Linked DNA regions of Mus musculus. The protein of the gene in region 2 purifies or fractionates together with the protein of the main gene of each other region. This does not show direct contact. Links are inferred from orthologs where the notes say so. Each region holds a gene or a part of one and is shown on either strand. Other genes may lie near its edges.

Region 1 (2,459 bases), on a different chromosome or scaffold from region 2:
TGGCTCTTGCCTTCTAGGTCCACCCCCCCACCCCACCCCCGGCCCCAACCTCCACCGCTGGACCAGTTGCCAGACTCAGATCTCTGGCGGTCCAAGATTCAGGACATAGACATGACACATGAGCTGTATCCTGGGCTAAAGTTGCCTTTTCGCCTTAGTCAGGAAGGAAAGCTATTTCCCATATCCTGTCCAATCCCTGAGGAAGAACAGATCTTTTCTCTAGGGACAATCCCCAGCCTCACCAGTAAGAGGGAGCCAAGTCTGTCCACCATTCCTAATGTACAAAGTCCCTAATGTGCAGGGACCAAAGTGTGCTGGCTCTTACACCTTTTGCCCCTTCTAACCAGTGTGTCTTGTCCTGCACTGGTCTCCTGGGTTCTTCACACACACACCCCCAAGAAGCTGCGATAGTACTAGAAATGACTGCTGCTCTCATTGAGTGATCAAGGGGCACAATAAATTCAAAGTCGGTGGCGCTAGCAGGAAGTGTACGGAGGCACAGAGATCCAGCCACCCCTCCAGGAAGCAGAATCAGTAGAAGCAATGGGATCCAGAGCCTTTTGCACAGACAAGAGCAAGAGGGATGCCCCTTTATTGTGCACACTCTTGGTGCAGGCACTTGACATCCAGAGCCCCTTGGTCCCTGATAAGCAAGAGATCATTGTCTCTTCAGGGAGGCGTTACACCCCCAACGCGTTTTCAAACAGGGCCCTACCTCAAAAGTTACTTGGTCAGCTCCTCTCTGGGGGATGGGGAGATGAGGGGTGACTTGCAAACCATAGCACCCCAGACCAGCTGCAGAACCTCAAGGGTTGGTGGAGGTAGAACGTGGACAGACGTTTGTCAACTTTGAATCAAGGTCCCGGGGCAAGAATGTCCATGCTCACATCCGTGGGTGCTGGCCACCTAGCATCCTTGAGATTAGACCCCCAACTTCATCAGCTCTCCAGCTGGCATTGTGCCCTTGTGACTCAGGATCCTGCTGCTGCTCCTATACCCTTACATTTGCTTAAACTAATGGATCTTGGCACCTCTCAGAGCCTTTGGTCTAGTTCACAGCTGGGATTCAAGACCCATTAGAAAACAGGAACTTGGGGGGAGAGGAGGCAAGAGTTATCTCCAACTTAGGCACCAGACCAGAAATGGCTGCTGCCTCTTGGGTGCTCAGAGATTCATACACACCAGCACATGCCTGCATTTGTTCTGATGTGTATCCCAGGGTGCATACTCATGCCCATGTGCCCACATACCACAGGCAACCACAAATCTTCAGCAGGCTTTTCTGACTAGATAGATAATCTGATGGTGGTCTCAGCTTTCCCATCCCCAGAGGAAACGCCACTCAGTTAGGAGGGACACTGGGCTTGCCTCTGCTTTCAGCCACTCACTTCCTGGTTGAGCATCTCCAACCACTGTGACTCCCCCTCCCTCAGAGTCTCCAGGGACCATGGCCCATTAGCCTTCCTCCCAATCCAGATAGTCCTCAAGAGCAGAAGAGACCTGGACAAGGACAGGGACACACTCAGATCCCACACACGGAGGTCCCAAGGAGAACCTGGGTGGACCAAGGTAGGTCCAGAAACACTACTGCCCAGACTCCAGCACATAATGGGAGGGAGGCATATGTACACATCCGTGCATTCCTCTGTGTGTGTGTGTGTGTGTGTGTGTGTGTGTGTGTGTGTGTAGAGTTTCTCAAGGCAAGGGGGTCGGTCCCAGGTTAAGTGTCAGGGCTGCCTGAGAGGCGCCTCTTGAGGAAAGCCGGAAAGCTGAGTAGAGGGGACAGGCTCAGGTCTCCCACTTCAGGCAATGCCTCACTGCTCAATTTCATGGGTGCCAGGGAGCTGTGAGGGTTCCAGGGGCTTGAAGCTAAGGACTTCTTGGTAAGTAAGCTCTGGGGAGGGGAATGAAAAAGGGGGGAAGGGTGAGATTATGCTGTCTGCCCACTTCCCTCCAAACCTCTGCTACACACACACACACACACACACACACACACACACACACCCTTACATGTCTCACTCAGAAACAGATATGTTTCCATCCTCCTTCCCCCACCCCACCCCCTGCTTCCCCTCCCCATCCCAGACCTTTGGGGAAGTTCTGGGGAGTTCCTGCATGAAACAGGTAAAATCTTGCTCTGAGAAAAGGCAACCCTCAGGTTCACGGACACTGCTCTCTTTCCCATCCTCACGCCCCACGCCCCATCCCTGTGCTCACCCTTCCACTCCTCCAGCGTGCGCTCCTTGGCCTCAACACTTTCATCATAGGGCTCTGCCTCTGGCTCATCGTCAGGGTCATGGTACTGGCTGAAGTATGCGTGGGCCAAGGCTTCGGCCGCACTGACCCTCTGGTCGCTGTCTAGTACCAGCATTCTTCCAAGGAGGTCTATGGCTGCAGGAGTGAGTGAGGCTTAGCACCATAGCCAATGCTAGATCTGAAGCCCAGCCTAGATCCAGTAC
Region 2 (4,442 bases):
GTCCCCCACTGCCCCGCCCCCCGGAGCGCTTCCCCCCCAGGCGCAGGCTGCGTTCAAAGTCTAGCAGCTGCCCCATAAAGTTGAAGTTAGGTGAGATGTTAGACTTCTTCCGCTTGACCAAGTCGTAGGCATCGTTGAGTGAGAGGTGAAGCTTCTGCATGAGGTAGGCCACGGTGACAGTGACAGAGCGGCTGACCCCTGCCAGACAGTGGACGAGCACCCCACAGTTCTGCGACAAGGCCTCATCTAGGTAAAACAGGACAGAACAGAAACACCCCCTAAGGGTCACTATGAGTGAGACCAAAGCTATACGAATTTCTGGGATCACCATCACTGCCTCCCTACCCTGCCGAGACCATATCTGAAGGATCTCTCTCACTGGCAGTTGACCTGAGCTCTACCCCCACCTCCCCAAGTGTCACGTGGGCTCTGGGAATGGAGTCAGGAGGACGAGAGGCCAAGAATCAGTCTGGTGGGTGGAGATTGTGGAGGGGGAGGGACAGGGGGACAAAGTAGGGAGGACTTACCAATGAATGCAATGGCCTCCGGAAAGAACTGGGACAGATTCTGGCTCCAATGGTCAGAGATGGGGATCTGCTTGTAGTGGAAGTCACCATTCTTCTCAAAGAGGTTAGGAAGGTTGGGGGTGACATTGAGGATATAGCGGATGCCAAGCTTGGCCAGGCTCTCCAAATTGGCTGAATCTCGAGCACTGCCTAGGTAGAGATTGGGCAGGATCTGGACTGGGAAGGGTGGTAGCAGCCCAGCTGGAGGGGATGTGGTGTTCTCAGAATCTAGGCCACAGCTCAAGGTGTCACGGTCAGCCTCAGACTCTGCATCAGAGAAATCAGAGCTCAAGCACAGGCCACCTAGCCCCACCACAGGCACTGGGCTAGACATTGAGCCCAGGCCTGAGCCGGCACGACCACTGAAGCTGGTTTCACACAGGTGAGGACACTCGGCCTGGAACTTGCTGAAGCCACCTGTCAGGAAAGAAGGGCGAGGTCTTACTAGTTAATATAGCCTCTGGGCAGCCAAGTATCCCTAGCTGGGGCTAGGGAGCTGACACCACACAGCTCTCCGGGGTGGGGGTTGCAGATATTGCCAAAGGGAACGCATAAGCCAGCAGATTTGTTTAAACCACATGTGCTGTGCTATAGACAGCCATCCACCCTCACTCAGCATTAGTGACTGTTTCTTTGGCTGATAAGTGCCCAATGCAGCCCTTAGTCTTGGGGCATTATCCTGTGAACCAGGTTGTTTCAGGTCAATTCTCCCCATTATCCAGACTTATAAATGGGCTTGGAGGGATGAAGGACTTGCCCAAGGTCACGGTCAGCTCTGCCTCCCCAAAAGCTGTTGGGCAGGTTATCAGGAGGGAGGCGCTTACCCTATATTTTAGACAAAATAAGATTGAGTTTGCTGAAGGATAAAGTAATTATGAAATCCCCTTGGAAAGAAGGATCTTTTCTCCTGACCTGAGGCCTCTCCAGAGTGCTCTCTCAGGCCACTGACCCTCACTTACCCTGTAGGTAGTATGCTGGGTAGCCTTCTTCCCGCAGCTTCTGGAGCAGGACGCCCAGCACCGAGTCAGCATCCCACTCTTCTTTGGCCTCCGCTTTGGCCTCCGCTTTAGCCTCCGCTTTGGCCTCCGCTTTGGCCTCCGCTTTGGCCTCCGCTTTAGCCTCCGCTTTGGCCTCCGCTTTGGCCTCCGCTTTAGCCTCCGCTTCGTTCTCCGCTTCAGCCTTAGGTTCGGCCTCCGCTTCAGCCTTAGGTTCGGCCTCCGCTTCAGCCTTAGGTTCGGCCTTCGCTTCAGCCTCCGCTGCTTCACGATGGCACTGGCCACTGCTACCCTGGTCGTACAGGAGCACAGGGGCCGGTGGGGGAGGCTGCAGTGGTGGCCCAGGCAAGAGCGACCGCACCGACATGCTCCCCCTCCGCAGGCGGCGCAGCATCAGCGAGGGCAGGGCCACGCTCAGCGCCCCGCAGATGCGCGCCGACTCATACAGCTCCCGGCTGCGGCAGTCCAGCAGCAGAAGCTGTGGGCGCGGGGACGACAGCTCCTGACGCAGCCACAGGCATGACCGACTCAGACTCTCCATGGTCGCGCAGCGTCCTGCACGTCGGGCAGTGGGTGCTGTGGAGAGAGGCAAGGCGCGGAGTGAGGGCAAGTTTGTCTCTACTCCTGCAGCGTGGATCAGGCTACTGAGGCGGGAAGTCAACCCCTGTCCTGAGGGCAGGCTTTCAGTGTCCCCGCAGGGACATTCCTCTACCGCCTGCTTCTCTCCTCGCGCTCCACCCACAGTGAGAACACCAAGGAAGGCGCCCCTGGAAAAAGACCCGAGGCTGCCGCCACTTGGGCGCTGCTCCCTGCCCCGCTTACATGGAGTTTTCGTGAGACATACCCCAGAAGATAGCTGGGCGTCTACCGGTCTCTGAAGTGCTAGGAGGACTAAAACCAGTTCCCTCCACACCCCTTTTCTGACTTTCTCATTTGCTCTGATCTCCATCACTCCCCAAGTTCAATTTTGGATGTGTGGAGAAGTTGGGTTCAAGGCCCGGCTCTCCTCTAAAGCCCGGAAGACCCAGAGAACAAGAGGGTCACCGAGGTTGTGGGCCTCGGCGAGTCCCGTAAGAGCTGACTCGGCCCCACTCCTACCCACCCCAGGAGAGAACAAAAGGAGAGACCTGGAGCGAGATCCAGAGGCAGGCGACTGCACCCGGACGTCCTGGCCACAGCTAGTGCCACGGCAGGGCGTAGGTATCGTTCATGGAGACGGATCCCCCAGGCTTGGGCGCTCGGAGAGGGCGGGGTGGTGGAGCAGGCTCGCACGTGGAAGCCAAGCCTCGCGCCACTCGTGCGCCGGCCGCTTCCTGGCAGCAGAATCCAGATTCCACCTTGGAAGGCTCTGCCTTCGGACCGACTAAGTAGCAGCTCAAAGGGGCGGGACGGGGCGGGGCGGTGGGGCGGGCTCAGGGAGCAGGAGAGCCAACCAGGGCTAAGGAAAAGCCTGGTGGGAGTTGCAAGCCGCAGGCTGAGCTAGGGCTTCCACCCAGGCGGGACAGGGTCAGGGCAGAGGCCAAGGGCAGGTCGGGGGCCCAGCAGGGGACATGTTGCAGTTGCCCCTGCTTGGCGCCAGTCTGGTCCCTGGAAGCAGGAAGAGGGGTGGGGACAAAAGCCCAGAGCCCCAGAACCAGAAACTGTCTCAAACAACTCAATAATGCTGAACTACCTGGAACTAGATGGCCCCCATCTGTATAATGGGCCAATCAGAGCCTTCTAATGTATTTTACTGTGAGATGCCACTAAAAAACTGAAGGCACAAGGCAGCTCCTGGGTGTGCTATTTCCATCTGGGCTTCATTTGTACAGGCCTAGCTAAAGGTACACAAGAATTCCGAGCACCCAACTCTAAACTGAGACACTGTGCTCTTATCAGGTGAAGAGGGGCGCCTCCCCAAAGCCTCTTTCCCATAAGCCCCTGGATGGATCCACGTGGAAAGAAGTCGTTTTACTGCAATATGTCCCCATCCCCATTCTCCTTCTGGCTTTTCTAGTGGTCATGACTATACAAGTCACTGTCCCAGTTTTTGAAACTTCAGCGTGTCTCCACCCTGCCCCATTCCAGAGCACCATTCAGTCCACTAAGGCTGGTGGCCTCCAGCCAGCCCACTGGACAGGTGATGAACAGGAAAGACACACAAGGGCTCTCCTTGCCTGGGTGTTCTAGTCCAGCAGGACACACTAACAATAAGCAAAGGCACTGGACCAGATATCGGGGTGATAAGTGCTGACAATGAAAGGAGAGGCAGGGGAGGCTTCTAAAAAAGCCCCATCTGGCCATGTGTCCTTTCTCTGCTAAAAGCCCAAGAAAAGCAAATAACAGTTTTAAAGGAAAACACACAACAGATAAGATAAAGCTCGCACAAAATAATCAAAGGGTTAAGACCCCGTAGATAAATGGGTAAGGAACTCAAGGACTGCATACTCTGCCCAAAGGAAGGAATGTGATGGGGTAAGAATATATGGGGAAAGGTTGAAGCTCAGGCATGGAAGGAAAGCCAATTCAAAAAAATAGGGAAATACTTCCCAGTCACTACATTAGTAGAATGTTCTCAAAATGAGAACGCCAAGTGTTGGCAAGAGCTGACTGGGGCTTGATTATGTTGTGGACAAGTTAGTGGTGGCATGAGGCCATGGATGCAGACAGCTGAAGAGACAGTATCTTACCCTCCCAATCCTGGAGGTTGTGTACTTGGAGGGAGGATCTCCAACAAGAGGGAAATACTGGTATTCCCAGAAATCTAGCTGTGCTCTCCGGAGTAGGCTTTCTAGAGGAAGTGATAGGAACTGCCCTGGAGGATGAGCATGGGAGAGAGGCACCTCTCCATGAAGGTACGGGGAGCCTAGGCATCAATAACCCGTTCCACTCCTGTCCACAC

What was found. Proteins that work in one complex are often made in the same cells at the same time.
Region 1: the proteins of Dusp9 (region 2) and Mapk11 purify together in Homo sapiens (affinity purification with mass spectrometry; 4 studies listed by BioGRID and IntAct, with this or other methods). This does not show direct contact. The link is inferred for Mus musculus from reciprocal best matches to the Homo sapiens genes DUSP9 and MAPK11.

Annotation. Positions count from the first base shown.
Region 1 is NC_000081.6:89,141,924-89,144,382, forward strand, and holds the end of Mapk11 (mitogen-activated protein kinase 11), read right to left. Parts: intron 2,392-2,459; coding exon 2,218-2,391; intron 1,895-2,217; coding exon 1,815-1,894; 3' UTR 559-1,814; downstream 1-558. UniProt on the Homo sapiens protein: Serine/threonine kinase which acts as an essential component of the MAP kinase signal transduction pathway.
Region 2 is NC_000086.7:73,637,888-73,642,329, reverse strand, and holds the start of Dusp9 (dual specificity protein phosphatase 9), read right to left. Parts: upstream 2,890-4,442; 5' UTR 2,689-2,889; intron 2,138-2,688; 5' UTR 2,103-2,137; coding exon 1,526-2,102; intron 984-1,525; coding exon 528-983; intron 247-527; coding exon 1-246. UniProt on the Homo sapiens protein: Inactivates MAP kinases. Has a specificity for the ERK family.